Arabidopsis thaliana: one gene and its partners. The protein of the gene in region 2 interacts with the protein of the main gene of each other region in a pairwise test. Each region holds a gene or a part of one and is shown on either strand. Other genes may lie near its edges. The genes, in order: NAC041, GATA4, AGL42 and ERF1.

Region 1 (4,027 bases), on a different chromosome or scaffold from region 2:
ACAAGCCGAGTGAGTAACAAGTATGAGCAAGTAAAGTATCATTTCTTGACATGTAATTTTCATTTTTCGTAACTTTCTCTACAACCCAATTATTGACCGCAACTAAAAATAATATTATGTTGAGACATACAACAAGAACATATGGAAGAGAAAAAAAAAAAAAAAAAAAGTCGATATGGATTTCGTTGACGACAAATCCACATTGTATTATTTGGACAAGAGACATGACCTTTACCTTCTCCTCACGCAACCGGCATTTGTTGAAGTCTCCCATTGTCCCTCCTTTGGGCCCTACCTTTAATGCCAAACTAACCCATTGTATTTGGTATTCTACATAAAAGTTGTACACTAATGTACGATACGATTCAACTACATTAACCGTATGTTAAATTATATAGTATTCACTTGTTGATAAATAAATTATGTTTGAACACAACAAAACTTAGTTTCTATATCCGCTGCTGTTTTGTTATAGTCGTCATTCGTACGAGTAATTCTTTATGTTCCGCACTAATCACGCTTCTTTTGTACCACTTAGTATGTGATTTTCTCATTCGTGGTCTTTGAATTGTATTAGAGGCAATTTAGTCTTTTGTGAGATTAGGAGGTGTGTACGGAAAAGTGTGTGAGACAAATGAAGTTAATGTGGAGGAGATCTATAGTGGGACAAAGCAATTGAAAGTCGCTTTAGAAGCAACTAAATGCCCTCTTGACTTCTCCATTCTCCTTGCGATTTACGCATTTACCTAATTGCATCTTTTACTTGTTTAGCTTGTTAAGTTCTTCTACAACATTACCACTTTTGCTCTCTTAAGTTATTGCAACTTGACAATTTGTTATACCCTTTATCAAAAAAAATACCTGGCAACTTGTTTGAGCTCCTGAATTAATCACATCTCTTAAAAGACGTTTTGCGAGTATAACATGAGCTTTTCTTTTTATAGATTCATTCACCAATCAAATATAAAAACTATAACACAATTAAAATGCCATGTAGCTAGGTATATTAGCAAGTCGTAGAACAGAAATGGAAAGACTTGATGAAAGCACGTCAATTCAATTTCATCTCCTATAAATAAATTGTTGTAGGAAGCCAACCGTTTTGGAATTTCTTTTCTTTCGTTTTACGTAAGACTATATAGATTCAATAACGTGTTGGTTTAGAAACCCATACTTATAATGGTTGACAAAAAGAAGAAAGAAAAAAATATAAACATATACGCTAAAAGTGTTTACCAAATAACAGGGTTATGTAATTTATTATCTGGATTAGGAAAAGATGATTGGACCATGCGATGGAGTAGAGGAATCTGCAGGGCATTTGTCACTTTCATGGACCCCATGAAATCACATCTCTTTTAATTGAATAATCGAAATCCAGTTGCATACGCATCTTTGTCTACGATTGGTCGTAGCACATATACGACATATGCCATAACTACAAACTAACTTAATCTTCTAATAATATTGTTAACGATCGTTAATACTAAAAATTACTAATATATTAGTCGTGTTATCTATGTGTTATGAGGTGTGTTAATTGTTGATGCATAATGAATGAACATGATCTCTAATTTGTTTACCTCACACTATGTGATTCAAGGGTGGAAGTCGTTGGTTAGCAAACATTAGTGTCTCAGGACAAGATAGCTCAGGACAAGATGTCCGAGCGGTTCAGAATCAGTAATGTTTTTTTCCGGAGACTCTACTCGTTGAGTTTTTGCTTGTACTCCCTGGTGTTTGTGTTGTGATGTAGTTTTGTTGTTTTACTTAGTTTTTGATCTTTTATGTAATTTGTATTTCGCTGTAACTTCGGTAAAAAACTTGTGAAAATAGTATAAGTACTTAACATTGATACAAAAAAAAAAAAAAAAAAAAAACTCATGAGGTCTTGTTATATATATGGTGATCACATCTTTAAAGAAAATGTTATAGTATTTGTTTTAGTTTAAACAATTTTTTATGTGCCAAAAACATTATTAAAAAGAGAGCAATACCCTACTCTAAAATAGTAAAGCTACCAAATTCAATTCATTACGACATGGCTCAAAAGAAAAAGTATTTCGAATATTATACGATATCAACCCCATTATCATTGCTATAAAATAAGCCAAACTTTACCTCTCCATTTTCAATAATCTCTCATCTTCTTTCGTCTCTCTTTCTACGGTTCAAACATTAAAAAGATAGATGGAGAAGAGGAGCTCTATTAAAAACAGAGGAGTACTTAGATTACCACCAGGGTTCCGATTTCACCCGACCGATGAAGAGCTAGTGGTTCAATATTTACGTCGAAAAGTAACCGGTTTACCCTTACCAGCTTCTGTAATACCGGAAACCGATGTTTGTAAATCCGATCCATGGGATTTACCAGGTACAGAAATTGAAAAATCTACTCTAGGGTTTCATTCAAATTCAATATTTGATGGTGTATATGCATGATGATCACAGGTGATTGTGAATCAGAGATGTATTTTTTTAGCACGAGGGAAGCTAAATACCCGAACGGAAACCGGTCGAACCGGTCTACCGGTTCGGGTTATTGGAAAGCGACTGGTCTCGATAAGCAGATCGGTAAGAAGAAGCTTGTCGTGGGGATGAAGAAAACTCTTGTTTTCTACAAAGGTAAACCACCAAACGGAACAAGAACTAACTGGGTTCTTCATGAATATCGTCTTGTTGATTCACAACAAGATTCATTATATGTAAGAGAATCAAATTCAAATAAATTAGATTCATCAATCAGTTGGATAAAAACTTGGCTAAAAAGTGTATTTTAATGTGTTTTTAAAAGGGACAGAACATGAATTGGGTTTTGTGTAGAGTGTTCTTGAAGAAGAGAAGCAATAGTAATAGTAAGAGGAAAGAAGATGAGAAAGAAGAGGTGGAGAATGAGAAAGAGACAGAGACAGAGAGAGAACGTGAGGAGGAGAACAAGAAGAGTACTTGTCCCATATTTTATGACTTTATGAGAAAAGACACGAAGAAAAAGAGAAGGAGAAGAAGATGCTGTGATTTGAATTTGACTCCTGCTACTTGTTGTTGTTGCTCTTCTTCGACTTCTTCGTCGTCTGTTTGCTCAAGTGCTTTAACTCACACATCTTCTAATGATAATCGTCAAGAAATCAGTTATCGGGAAAATAAGTTTTGTTTGTTTCTATAGATTAACAAACTTGGGAACAACTTCTATTAACTTTAATAAATTAGATTATGATTGTTTCCAAAGTTAATTATGCAATCCAGGAGTCTTTCTTGGTTTTGGTAATTAATAGCCATATTTTATAGCTTATCTAATTGTATCAAATATTGAAAACTGGTTGATCAAATATCTAATTTGTTAATGAGTGTCAATTAACAACAAGGACCAACCATCTAGCTAACAATTCAAGCAATCAAATCAGAGACTAACACTACATTAAAGATCACTCTTACAAAAAAAAAATGTGGAACATTTTTTTATAGAAAAAATCATATACCCAAACAACACAAATTCATTTATTTTGATATCTGAAAAAGCATTATATGTTAAAAATAGAAAATGCATAATGATTATTTCTTTCAATTGTTGGGTTGTTTCTAAGTTTTTGGACAACACTTTTTTACCCATACTGTAAAAGATCACAACATTGATAAGAAAACTCTCATGTCTGGTTGAAATAAATTAGTAAAAGGTTAGAATAAATTGGTTTAAAGGTAAATTAATATTTTAGTTTTGGCACAAATTAACAAATCAATTAATTTTTGTTTATTTTTAACTAAAACATCATTGATTATCTATCTATATCCGATTCAACCAATATAAAATAATTTATCAAATATAAATCACCCAAAATCAATAATAAACTAGATAATTTTGCAATGGAAGTCGAAAACATCATCTCATTTAAAATTCCAAAAAATCAAATAAAGGAATATTAATATAACATAGACAATTTAGTATGATTTTGGTTTTAGTTAAACATATCTTTGATCTTCAAATTTTTTTTATTTTTTTTTCGGTTTGATTGAAACTTACTTTTATAGTTTG
Region 2 (3,876 bases):
AGTAGTTTCATTCATGTTTTGAGTTTTGTTGTTGTTTTCTTGAGTAGTCTCAATTGACCTCAACATTTTTGCAGTTTCTTGATATTTGAATTTTTGTCTTTCTTTATACATATATTTGATCCTCTTTTTTCTTGGCTTGGTTTAGTTGATAGTTTAAGCGGAAAATTAACCAAATTAGATTAGTTTTGTATGGTATTTCTGGTTCGATATCTTAATGTTAAGACCTTGCTTTGGTTTCTATTAGGATTCGGTCTGTCGGGGTTCTGGATTTGAATAACGGTGACACTATACACCACATTATGGTTCAATTTTCAGATCATTTGTTTGTTCTGTTTCGGTGTTACCGCCTAACCAGTTTAGTTTATTTATAAGAGGTTTAAGCACTTTGTATAAGAGTATTGGTAATTTTTGGTTCAGATGGAATAAAGCGAAAAATTGTTAGATTTGAATAGCCTAAACCAGAGAGAGTTAGGTTTGGTATGGCTTAGGTTACTATTTTTTAAGAAAGTAGTAAACTGAATTGCCTCGTGAAATGCCAAAAACTCAAATTCTCAAGCATGTAACATGTATGATGTATGTATGAAGATTAACCAGCATTGTCATGTGTGATATAACATCATAAGTCACAAAAAGCAGAGTCCATGGTGGTTGAGAAGCTTTTATATCTGAAAAGAGGAAAATTAAATGCCGCCAATGAAATCATTTAATGATATAACTTTAAGGAGAGCCGTGAGACCAATAAACAAAAGCAAGAAAAAAATCAATAGAAATTACCAACAAATTAATTAGCAGAGATTTGCAAACTTTAAACTAATACTGATAATTAAGTCCTTAACCCCTCCCGTCGGTCACGTGATCATCACCGTTAAGATTACGACACGTCACCAAATCACAAAAACCCTTGAAAAGAAAACCCCCAAATTTACTGCGGCTGAAACGGCGGAATTCGAACGCAAGATTCTTGTTGTTCCTTCTGTCGCCGGAGCTCCATAACTTTCCGATGAGAGTTCGAATGCTGAGTCAATACAAACGTCGGACTCGACGCCGGTCTGTATTCCGGTACAAGCCTCCCTGATTTGTAACGAACTCCACAAGCGTTACAAAGTGTTTTAGGTCCAAGCGGTCCAGTTCTCCACTGTGGCGTTTTCTCCGAGGCACAGTGCGTGCACCGCCTCGCTCCATCCGCCGTAACCGATTCAGCGTTGTAGACTTTCTTCGGTTTAGGTTTAGCGACGGAGTGACAAAGCTCTGATTCAGACATCGGAGCCCAAGTTCCAGCTACGGAAGGTGCTGGTGCTCTTGATCGGCGACTTCTAGGTTTTCCGGTGAATGAAATCTCGGGTCTAACGGTCATGGTTAAAGGATTTGCTGGGAAATCGGAGAATGAATCGTCAACGAATCGCGATAACCATTCGAGATGAGCTGCGTCGTCACTCTGCAAAACTCAAAATCAGAACTTAGAAATTCAAAATCAAAATCAAAATTAGGGTAAATTGAAATTTGAAAACGTACGGGAACGCAGAGATCGTGAGTGAAGTCGGTGAGGAGAGTAGGAGAAGTGTAGGTGGAAGAAGGAAAGCTGAAAGGGTTTTCGGAAGAAGCGGCGGAGGAAGCGGCGGAGGAAGTGACGGTGGAAGAGGAAGAGAAGATTTCGTCGTTGGAGAAATCGAGAAGGTCGTCGATACGAAGCAAGTCCGGTGAAGACATGCCGTAGACGTCCATTGTTGACTCGGACTCGCTTACTGAGTATGTATGTGGTCACTGGTTCAGAGGTTTAATATAGAGAGAGAGAATTAGTGTAAGTGAGGAAAGAGACGAAGATGAGAACGTGCATAGAGTTAGCATGCACCGAGACTGACCTGACCACTCCCTTTTTTTCTATTTATTTATCCACTTTAATATATTTGTCTACATTTTTCTTTGAACATGCATGTGCTATTTAATTTACTTACCAGAGGATTAATTAACCATGAATTACATAATGCATATACTAGTCTTTTTTTAAAAACGCATATATTATAGATCGAGCTTATATTCTAAACAAGCATTTTGAAAACATTTCTTTCAAAACAGACACTCTAAACAGTAAAAGCATATAATACTTCAATTTTTATTGTTACGGACATTTTTGCCCTTAAACTATGAACTGGAGTTGAGAATGAGGTGAAAAGAATGTGTTTATCTTCTAAAAATTGTATCCCCATCTCTGATTCAATTTTAAGTTTCTTTTGACATCCAAAGATATATGGCTTAGATAGTGGACTTGCAGCTTCGACGGTAGGCATGAAGCTTTGACGATAGCACAAAGATTTGGTGGTGGTTCACGGCTTTGACAACGAGGGGTAACGAACGGCGTCAATGGTAAACGCTATACCCTAGAATTAGACTTGTAAACCCAAACCGTCAAATATAGAGTATGCAATTCTTACATACACACAATAACACAACACTACAACCATCCTCATTATCATCAAACACCATTAACATGAACAAAAATCAATGTACTTGTAGACATGATTATGAACATCAATTGAGCAATCAACAAAGTATCAATCACTTCTTGAATTCCTTAACCTGCACAAAAATCACTGAACAAAAAAACGTGCAAATCGTAATACTAAATCGTGGGACTTTTTTGTTTCTTGTTTTTTTTTTCCAGATCTCAAAATGTGGGATGTTAAAAATCTAGATCGCATTCACATCTCATGAGGACCGATTGTTAGTCGTCTGAATTTCCAATCGTCGCTGACATCACTCTGTAATCAATGACTCCAAAGTTGTTGGTGTTGGTCGCAAGTATTTTTGATTTCTAGTGTAAAACGTAAAAGTTCATCAACAAAGAAAGAACAACATCATCTCTCTGTAAGGGTAAAAACGACTTTCCCCAGGAAAGAAGTGCCTAAATCTAAAGATCATTTCAAAAGTGCCTAAAATAAAATATATATCTAAGACAAATGCCTTATTTGCAATAAACTCATTATAGATCATAGTCTATAGTTTTATTAATTTAAACAAGTAATGAAGGGGAAATTAAATAAATGCAAGGTTACTAATTTTATTTTTTTCAATAAGCCTCTCTCCCTTTTGTTAATTAAATTCTTCTGCCATCTCCTAAAAAGGTTTTCCGATTTTTTTTCTTAATTTTGTTGAAATTTGTGAGTTGGATCATTTAGTATCCCGTTGAGTTTTTTTTTTTTTTTATGTTTTCTTGTTCAAAGAAAATAAAATAATATTCTCCGGAATGTGTAATCAATCATAGAGTTGAATTTCAACATGACCAAAACAAGGAAATAGAGAACAAAATTGGCTCAACAATTTATTAATACAAAGTGATGCGAATGTATAACTATCTTGTTTCTTGTGCTTACATGAATATTTCGCATTTTGCAATCACACTTACAGAAAAAGAAAGAGACACAGAAGTGGGACTAGCTTCGATCGTTGTAGAATAGAGTGTACACAAGTATCTAATATCATTCTTCAGTAACCTAGCATGTCTTTCACAGGTTTGATTAATAACTAATGTGATAACGTTTAGAAATATCCTTACTACCAGAAGTAACGAAAATTTAGTTTTGATAAAGAGTTGTTTTGACATATTATTTTAAACATTGAAGAGATAACTATAAAAATGTAGTGGGGAATGGGAAAATGGATGGAGACAATGAAGGAGATGAGTCGACCGACGATCCGAAGTGCATTGCACTTTGGTTCTATAAATTCCTATGGCCCTCTTTTTAGGTTTATATATACATATTTTTTCCCTATCATTTATCTTCTTATGTCTCTTTCATGCATTGCTCCTTCATTAATTTATTCAGTTTTTCAACTATACAGAAACTACTCATATATGTACAAACACGCACGGCACATGCA
Region 3 (6,314 bases), on a different chromosome or scaffold from region 2:
AAAGTTAAAAAGCATACTATGTAAAGTCTTAGAAAGACTATAAAACGAATCAGCCATATGCATGGCTCCTCTAATCTATGTACGTGTACGAGAATGTAAATGTATTGAATATTTCGATATATAATATACAAGTAATTTCATCAACTGGAAGTATAACTTGATGAGTTGATTAATATATAATTTTACAATCGATAAATATTTTGTCTTGAAGGTAAATTTACCGCTACTGAGAAGAAAAAAAAGATTATTTTCTCTAAAACTCCTGGTTACATGTTGATAATGTATATGTTCTCCATACTCAATTATTACAATTATCTAATGAATAGATTATTATTACAAAAGCAACGGTCGAGGTTAGTGAATTTCAAAATTCAAATACAGCAGAATTAAGCAGCTAACCGTGAGCTGATGCATTTATCTCCTATACACTAGAGTATTAATATTATCCTATCAAGTAATTAGTAGTATCTAACTTCTGTGTATCTGATTATAATATACAGTACTTGCAAACGAGTAAACTGCAACAAAGACTGGTGGGCCATGGGTGGGTAGTTGGCTGTATATTAATATAATCCATTGGATCCTTATTGGGCCGATTGGAGCCCATAACTTAGGCCGAAGATTTGTTTTAGATTTTGGATGATGACTGGACATTCCAAGTATGAACCCAAGAATGTTTCTTAACATGAGCTTCCAAATACAGTGTGAATAGTGTAAGAACATCATACCCCACAATTAGTTGAAGGATTTTGAATATACTGTATATATATATCTCTTTAATTGTATAAGGACTAGAATTATAACAACTCAGAAAATACTATCCCAAATCATTACCTCACAATTTATTGAATGATTTTGAATATTTCATGATAAATAAATAAACATATTATATAATGTTACTAGCAGTTTCTATTTGGCAAACCGATGAATAAGTCAGTTTCAACTTCCAAATTCAAATCTATAACTTTGTATTTCTCTTGCTGCTGATCAGTCGATGATCCTCTCCATGGATTAATAACATTCTGTCCATGACATAGATTGCAATTTCATCAACCATAAAACATATCATTTTATAATTTTATCTCTAGGAGAAAATGTTAAAAATGATATCCAAAAGTTGTAAACAAAACCAACTGAAAAAGTCAAACTCAAACTTAAATTTTGAAATCCTTAAAACTAATCAAATACTTTATCAAAAAAAAAAAACTTGGAACGAGAACCAAATTTTACCGAATAGCACCGTATAATCTCTAACAATGATTTTGCCGGAGAAAAAAAATCTAAAAATGTAAAAAATCAACCGACGAAAAACAATCAGAGTTCTTTGGGTAATATTTTCAGCATACTAAAGCATTAGCAATTCATAACATATATGATATATATGTAAATTTCAGTTGAATTAGTATTGGTATATACAATTCTAAATATGTGAATTGTAAAGAGAGATGGGTCACCTTTTGATGTAACTTGACGTTCTCTTCTAACAATTGTTTCTCCTGAAACACAACCGACACTCTTTCACCAATTTCATATAAAAAAGCTAGTTAAAAAATTGCATGTATGATATACATATCTTATATTATAACATAATGTATCAAACCTTTGCTTTTAGTTTCTCCAACTGCTCCTTGAACAATTGAGCCTATAAAACATTTTGTCCAACTTTTTTTTTCATTTCCATGATAACAACACTAATATACAAACACACATGTGACTTGACTCTTGATCAATGTTAGTATATTGGTTGAGATATGACGCTAAATGGTTGCAAAGATCTGTGTTCAAGTTCATATCTAAATGAGGACTATAACTTGATGACTGAGATGGAGATTATTCAAGTCAATATGTGTTGTATAGTTACATTAGATCATCATCATATACCAATTAGATAGTGATGAAGTATATGTACCTTTCTTTCTCGGACCTTTCCCAGACTTCTTTGGAGTTGACTATCGATTTCTTGAAGCTCTTCTAGAGAACAAGAAGCAATTCCTTGTCCCAATAGCTTCCTATACACACGCAGAGGAGGGTTCATGAACAAATTTTGTAAATCTCCAAAGTAGTTCTCCTATTTGAGATCACTAACAAATACATTAATGATATTACTATAGTATGGTCTTTGATTACATGCGTACCTTTACATACGGAAACAACTAAAAGGACTTTTAAATCTAAACGACTAAAGGTTTCAAATTTTATAAAAAAAATTCTTGAAATACTAACAAAAAGGTTAAAAATTATAGTATTGAAATAAATAAAAAATGGTTAATGAAGTCTTAAGGATATGGATCTACAATTAATAAAGAAAGTTTGGTTAAAAAGTCTAAGCTTATATGGTTTTATATATAAAACGAAACAAAATACCGTAAATGAAATTAAAGGAATAATAATCAAGATTGTGATCTAAGAGAAGTAGCAACGAAAAGAAAAAGAAACAAAAAGTCTAAGACATTATACCGCTTGTGAAACTCAAGGAGTTCAATCTTTGTTATCATGTGGCTTGCTTCTTGTTTCAATTGCTACAATACGCCCACAAAATAAAATCATAGGATGCAAAAGAAGTAAAACAGATCAGTATGTAATCTTTGTGACCATCGATCCATCAGTTGTTTTGTGATGTAGTAATTGATCTCATAAGATTTGGTTTTGTTGGCCATTGAAAGTCAAAGAATCAATTATTAGGGACAATGTCCCACATCGGAAGTTGAGTAGGATCTTAAGTGGTATATATAAGATATGGGTCTCTCCACCTATTGCCAATTGGTTTTAAGTTGGAAGCCCACAGTCTAATATCAATAGCATGGAAATCATGTAAAGTTTAAGTTTGATTATTTTTACCAAGGATAAAACCGTGAAAGTCATCAAGTGAAAAAAAAAGAGTTTGCTAACAAACCTGCAAGTGAATTTGTGAGTCGTGATTGCTGGTTTCATGATCTTTTGTGTACTTGCGGTAGCGTTCGATCGTCTTCTGCATACTGATGATCAAAAATAGACATATATTTTCAGAAATATGAACTAACGTACTTATCTTCGTATTTGTTTTATCTATAGCTCTACTATATTTGAAATAACATCTTATCGCAACGAGATATGAAAATTTTGTTTGACTGTAGTATGATTCTTAGATTGTACTACAATATCTTCTTTGCTGTTGGTTAATATCTCTATAGCTAGGTAACTATTCAAATCCATGCCCTATGATTCACCGGGCCCTTTTTTGTCCATTTATTGAACTCTTTTTTTTCTCACATCAAATAATTGAATCTAGATCCATTAACCCATTAGGAAACCTCTAATCAACAATATATATTACTATAGAGAATAACAAATCACAACTTTAGCTACTTGGTTCTAACATTGATTATAGCAAAAACTTAAGGATGTGAATGTGTTAAACATATATATATATAGGGAACTATGTATGCACTGGACACCTGAATCAAACGAGGAAGAGCAAGCATTATTACTACATGGCTGCAAAAGTAGAGCCCAAATAAAGACATAACGAAAACCAAAAACGATAGTACACAACCTAATTAACTAGGGGCAAGAAAAAGTAAACTTATTTTATATTATCACCAAAGAAATGGGTAAAAATATGTGCAACTTGGTACGGATCACAATAAATAATCATCAAATTATAGAATAAATCCCATTTAGATCTACTTCCGATGTTGTTTTCTGTTCATATATACTTTCAAGAATTTGGAAACCCTAGAAACATACACACACATATATCAATATATACGCACACAATTTAGTTTGGATGTAAAGTTTTGGTAGATCAGAAAAAAGGAGTTTGTCTAGATTTCTAACCAAATGACTATTATAAAAATAGAAAAATGAAATTAGACTGATAGGGGAAGAGAAGAAAGAAATCTTTAGGATTCAGACAAGGATCGAATCTCTCAAGTACCAAAATCTGAGAAGGTTGCTTTAGTCAATAACGATTCAGAAAATAAATCAGAACAGACACAAACACATGACCTAAAAGCCTAATTAACCCCCCAAAAAAAGTACGATCGGAAAAGTAAAAGAAGATGAATTAAAAGAATCAAGAAGAAATTGAAGAAAACATACTCAGAGCTAGAGAATTCATAAAGCCTTCCTCTCTGGGAGAAGATGATGAGAGAGAGTTGAGCATCGCAGAGTACTGAGAGCTCATAAGCTTTCTTCAACAAACCATTTCTTCTTTTTGAGAAAGTCACTTGTCTACTCGTTGCGTTTTCTATTTTCTTCATCTCTATCTTTCCTCTAACCATTTTTCTTGCTTTGACTTGATTTTTTCTGCCACAAGATCTGTAAAGATTGAAACCCTAAACAAGCCAGTGACCAGTCATCATAACCAAAGTCATAAAAGAGAGAGAGAGATCTCACCGAATAGGGAGAGTAATTGAATGTCGGTAGAGAAAATTGAAGAAGAGATAAGCTAGTAGTGAAGAAAGGGTGATTTAAAATCAAGAACTTCACAGGAAAAGATCATTGTGAAAGATTGAGGAAAGAAAGATTTGAAATTCTACAAAAATGGAAAGAGGAAAAGGTATTTGGTTTTTCTGTCAGGAGCCCTAGAATGATCTGTGAGAGAAGGAAGGGGCAAGTTTCTTAATGTTTTTTTTTTTTATAGAAAGTTTTTTTTTATGTTTTATCACTTTTCTTTTTTGTTTTATGGGTCACAATAAAATGATGCCATTCTTATTTTCATTTCTGTTCTTGATAATAATAAAAATTATGTATAGAGTATTTTAAATTTGTGTCCATATCTTCTCCTCCCCACATACAAAAGGATAATTAGATGCCAAAACAAGAAACAGGATAATTCTTGTTTTTATTTTATTTATCTGGAAAACAACCAAACTTGGTTATAAGAATTGATTTATTTGTCAACAAAAATGTGTGTATATACCAATATATGGTTATATATATATATATATATATATCAAATTTCAATAAAATGGTAATTAAATACTACTGTAATATTCATACGATTTAGTATTTTCACTCTCATTTTAAGTAAGTTAGTACAGTTTTTATATAAAAATGTAATTTATTAGATATTTCTCCTTCACGTTACGGAAGTAAATATCATAATTATTGTAGCTGTGCACCAATTATAGTATTTCAACCTTTATTTATATAATTGAGAAAAAAGACAATCGTGGCAGGTTCAAATGTTGCATTAAAATAATAGCCGTACGAAATATAACTTAAAATATATATATAAAAAAGCTATTAAGCATTAGGAAGATCCATTTGGTCTACGAGATAAACATATTCTTTACCCTATTTTGGCAAACTTAACGAGGAAAGAAAGAACAAGGGATTTTGGAAAGTCTCCGCTAAAATAGGAAATTTTGGGGGAGAGAAGATCGATGGACGACTTTGAGGCTTTGAGCAATATTAATAAAATCATTTATTAGTGTTTGAATTTCTAACGATGTCGTCATTACTAGAGAACATAACACTTAATTATAGGATTAGTGGGAGTCAATTTAAATGGGGTCAATTTTAAAAGTTTTGTGATTTAATAAAAATTTAGTAGAGAATTTCAAAATTTTCGTGAATACTATTTTTTTAATAGTATTAACAAACTGATTTCTCGACAAGCTCGTAGCTAAAATATGTTGTTAAAATTAATTGAAGGCATTGTGACTAGTAGCTCCTAATGAACATAGTCGTTAACAGAAATCAAAAGATAGGAACTAGAGAACCTACTACGTGTCATTATGTCTATGAGTTAAGAGAATAATAATACATTGTCCTCTTTCTATTATTTTTAATCTTAGGAGAAAACGAGAGGAGATGAAACAGTATCGAAAAGGCCCACGCCAAAAAGAAAACAGTGTTGAAAATTGGCATCGACATCATCGTACTATGTCAGTGCTTTGTCACGTGTCTCGCACTGATTCGTTTCACTTGTTCGATTACCGTTCCAACTGAATTAGTATACAATTTGGGCAATAAGTCTTAGTTTAATACTGATTGGATATTCGATTTTTGGATTTCCTCACCAAATGTTGGATCTTTTTAAAAAATGAAATGGTCGATATGTAAGGGAGACGTTCAAGCAGTTGAATAAAATATTTTGGATAAGTCCAAAGGCCGATTTAGATAATTAAGCCCAAACTCCAAAGGCCTATTGAGATACAAGACTATAAATAAGGCCCAAAAGCCTTTTAATAGAGATTCCACCTGAAAGAGAAGGTTTACGTTAGCGGCGTTTGCCTTCAACCTCTGCTTTCTGACTCCCGAAGCGAAATACTGCAAATCGGAGAGATTCAGCCGTTTCAACTGTCTTCGCGATGACTATGGTCCGT
Region 4 (3,603 bases), about 14 Mb from region 2:
ATTTTACAGGTTAAAATATTATAAAGAAATCTATGAGTTGATTTAATATGTCATTACCATAATACTATTTACCGGCTAAATTTTGATTACAATGCACTTGGTCATGACCCATACGCAAGCAAACCCAAAAGTTATGACAGATCGTTCTGGTGACCTCAACTACCAAAACAATAATGTGATTATGTGACTACTTTTTTTACCTAAAACGTTTTATCGGACAAAAGTTCTAGTTACAGATGCATCTCATTGCAAAAAAAAAGTTCAAGTTTCTGCATATTTAAATCTTTTTTATTCAATTATTCTTAGATAATTCCCTTAGAAAGTCACAAGAAAATCCATAGCTACTTTAAATCATGAATTAAAAATATATGTAAAATAGCACAAAAATTCTAGAAGTTGCCACCTAATCCGAAAGAAGTCAAGATTTTCATTACACTACCTGACCATCTTTTTCAGTTGTGGTCTATTTGAAACAAAATTAAAACACTTTAACTTATACTCCATTATTATAGTTAGCCATTTAGGTGGCTCCTAATTAATGATTAACAAAAATAAATTATACTACTATATAGAGTCGCTCCTCAATACTCATGGACTCATATATTACAGAACAATAAAAAGAACTGTCTTTGTATATTGTTATGAGCAATTGATTATGACCATCTTACACTATTTGTAGGCTTTGTGCAAAAAAATTATTATGTTAACTTAAAACATGTTTGAATACTCTAATAGCACATGCTTAAAGACAATCCTCATTACGATAAATAAGAAAAATGAGAGTTTTCTTACTAGTTGAATAGTAAGAGACAAAGACTTTTACACTAACTTGAAATTGATAAAGTCAAGTATCACAAAAATACATACAAACTGTTTTCGATGTTTCTCAATAGAATCAAATATTTAAGCAAACAAAAAACATATTAGGGTTAAAATTAATCAACCACTTCAAACTTAAGGTCCCTAATACAAATCCTAATCTTTCACCAAGTCCCACTATTTTCAGAAGACCCCAAAAGCTCCTCAAGGTACTGTTCTCCCAAATCCTCAAAGACAACTACATTATCTAACTTCACGGAGCGGTGATCAAAGTCACTATCTTTCGTCTTCTTATTGGTCATTCTCCGTCTCATCGAGTGTTTCCTCTTCAACGCCACAACCGGAGAACAACCATCCTCGTAGGTATATTTAATCTCCGAAAGCGACTCTTGAACTCTCTCCGCCGAAAAATTGAGAATCGCCGAGGACCCTCTCATCGAGAAAGCAGCTTGATCGTAGGCTAAAGCCGCCTCTTCCGCGCTTTCGAACGTCCCGAGCCAAACCCTAATACCGTTTCTAGTCGAATCTCTTATCTCCGCCGCGAATTTCCCCCATGGCCGTCGTCTTACGCCTCTGTAAGACTTCTCTGACTTTCTTGAGCTTACGGATTTGATCGGAAGGTCTTGACTATCCGAGTCAATATAGGTTTGTTGCGTGGACTGCTCGATTAGACCGTAGAGAAACATTTCCTCTGAGTCGTTCTCGTTGAAGGGAAGAGAGTAATTGTTAGAAGAAGAGGATGAGAAAGAATCTGGAGAAGATCCGATAGAATATTCCGGTGAGAAGCCGGAGAATGGGGACTGAATTAAAAATGGATCCATGTAGAAAAAATACTCTGTTTCTTGACTACTCTGTTTTCGGTTAGGGATCGTTAGTGGATTGACATGGTCTATATATATAGAGAAAAAAATGAGTATGTATATGCAAATGTCCAAATTAGACTTGAGTTTTTACTGTCTCAGTGAAAGACAAATGTCATGTAATAAAAGGGTGAAATGGGAATTTACGAAAAATAATGTTACACTCAAATGAAAAACTATGTTGCTTCGTCGAAGATTCGAGCAAAGACGTTTTGCATATTTCTTCTCTTCGTGTGATATTTAATGTTTTCGTAATATATGAATTGTTTTGTACCGTTTAAACTAATCTTCTTACTGTCGTGAATCGTAATTACGTGAGACTAATATGAAACTGTATATTATGTAATTATCCCAGAATTGGTATGTATATTTAGGTATATATTCTTCAAATGTAGAATGAGCAGTGTAGGTTAGGTATATCATTTCGTATTATCATCACATGATTCATCGAAATTTTGTCACTTTTGCATCATATCACATTTCTTAGTTTAAATATAATTTATTTTTCTTTTTATGACGGTAAGGTTTATGAATCATGTACGACCTAAAAAAGATTAACCACATATGAAAACAACTAAAATGTTATATTTTGTAGTATATATCAGGATTACTTTGGTGTACCCAAGATATTATATTTTATAAGTGAAAGATTTATGATGATGTAAAAAGTTTTAGAAAATACTGATTTGATGCTATTTGATAAGTTTTATCAACCTACATGCCACATTCAGATCAAATTGAATCTAGAAGAAAATAAGATGGCGATTTTAGTAGAAAACTAAAAATCAGTTGACTAAAATTTTTATAGATAATTTTGATATGCAAATAAAATTCCCATCTTATAATTTCTAAGTGGACTCCACTTATTTGATCTAAAACAACTTATGAATAAAACAAATAACTGCGAAAGTTCACATTTCACGAACAGAAATAACAAGATCGATGTGAAAATGATTAAGCCATATTCCAAAATAACTGCTGGATCAACTCAACAAAACATTTTCATGCTTAGGTATTGCAAATATGATTACATAAAATATCAAATCATTATCCTATAATCTTAGGAAGCTATTATTAATTATTATTAAAGAAAATCTTTTGGCCAAAAGCATGGTTAAAGAAAATTGTTGGTTGGAAGGATTCAAGATACATGCCCCCTTGAATCCCAAACAACAAATAATTTCGAGCCATCTCATGTTTAGAAGATAATTTGGCTTTATCTGCTTTCAACTTCTTTCTCAAACAAAAAAGATACTTCATGTGCCATTTTTTCATTTTTTCTAGTTTCCTTTGTTTTTTTCTTCACTATTTCTAGTTATCTTATAGTAGAAATATATTTCAAATTTGGTGCAAATTATAACCAAATTATAACTCTTAAATTATATGAGTTACCTAATATTTTCTTAAACATTATCCCAATTACATTATTTTAAGTCATCTAATTAGTTGATCAAATTTATAGTATTATCGGAAAACAACATATAAATGTTCAGAAAACTGATGACCCCTCTAAAATCCTGGCTAGTTTGATCATAAACTATCTTTCAACCATCCTTAGATATTTTTTTTCTTTTCCAAATGTTGAATCGATTATCCAAATCTAGCAAATTTAATAATTCTTCAAAAAAAAGAATTTCCTAGTTTTTCTCACATCTTTTCTGTTTTAGTTATTTACATTTACTTTTATTTTGTCAATAGTCATTTAAAACAATGTAACAAAAGTAGGAGGTGTTGAAAATAATTATTCGAACGGATACGCAACTAAATTCTATTAGAACACTACACATCATCACATGCATCCTGAGTCCAGTAGGACACAAAATTATTTATTCTTTCTTAAGCCCATCCAAAACTATGCATAACTGATTATTTGATATCCCGCACGTGTTCAAAGTTTTTGGCTCTATTTTAAACTTCAAACCTG

The links.
Region 1: the proteins of GATA4 (region 2) and NAC041 interact in a two-hybrid assay, tested with the Arabidopsis thaliana proteins (one large-scale study listed by BioGRID).
Region 3: the proteins of GATA4 (region 2) and AGL42 interact in a two-hybrid assay, tested with the Arabidopsis thaliana proteins (one large-scale study listed by BioGRID).
Region 4: the proteins of GATA4 (region 2) and ERF1 interact in a two-hybrid assay, tested with the Arabidopsis thaliana proteins (one large-scale study listed by BioGRID).

Annotation. Positions count from the first base shown.
Region 1 is NC_003071.7:14,179,085-14,183,111, forward strand, and holds NAC041 (NAC domain containing protein 41), read left to right. Parts: upstream 1-1,893; 5' UTR 1,894-2,190; coding exon 2,191-2,374; exon of another isoform or gene 2,375-2,438; coding exon of another isoform or gene 2,439-2,451; coding exon 2,452-2,705; intron 2,706-2,794; coding exon 2,795-3,163; 3' UTR 3,164-3,355; downstream 3,356-4,027. UniProt on the Arabidopsis thaliana protein: Transcription activator of the mannan synthase CSLA9. Recognizes and binds to DNA-specific sequence of CSLA9 promoter.
Region 2 is NC_003074.8:22,371,194-22,375,069, reverse strand, and holds GATA4 (GATA transcription factor 4), read right to left. Parts: upstream 2,058-3,876; 5' UTR 1,723-2,057; coding exon 1,513-1,722; intron 1,436-1,512; coding exon 923-1,435; 3' UTR 516-922; downstream 1-515. UniProt on the Arabidopsis thaliana protein: Transcriptional activator that specifically binds 5'-GATA-3' or 5'-GAT-3' motifs within gene promoters. May be involved in the regulation of some light-responsive genes.
Region 3 is NC_003076.8:24,963,023-24,969,336, reverse strand, and holds AGL42 (AGAMOUS-like 42), read right to left. Parts: upstream 4,692-6,314; 5' UTR 4,378-4,691; exon of another isoform or gene 4,288-4,377; 5' UTR 4,263-4,287; coding exon 4,081-4,262; intron 2,976-4,080; coding exon 2,894-2,975; intron 2,520-2,893; coding exon 2,458-2,519; intron 2,010-2,457; coding exon 1,910-2,009; coding exon of another isoform or gene 1,874-1,909; exon of another isoform or gene 1,643-1,873; coding exon 1,601-1,642; coding exon of another isoform or gene 1,595-1,600; exon of another isoform or gene 1,497-1,594; coding exon 1,455-1,496; intron 1,023-1,454; coding exon 900-1,022; 3' UTR 730-899; downstream 1-729. UniProt on the Arabidopsis thaliana protein: MADS-box transcription factor that acts with AGL71 and AGL72 in the control of flowering time. Promotes flowering at the shoot apical and axillary meristems. Seems to act through a gibberellin-dependent pathway.
Region 4 is NC_003074.8:8,293,742-8,297,344, reverse strand, and holds ERF1 (ethylene response factor 1), read right to left. Parts: upstream 1,729-3,603; 5' UTR 1,641-1,728; coding exon 984-1,640; 3' UTR 741-983; downstream 1-740.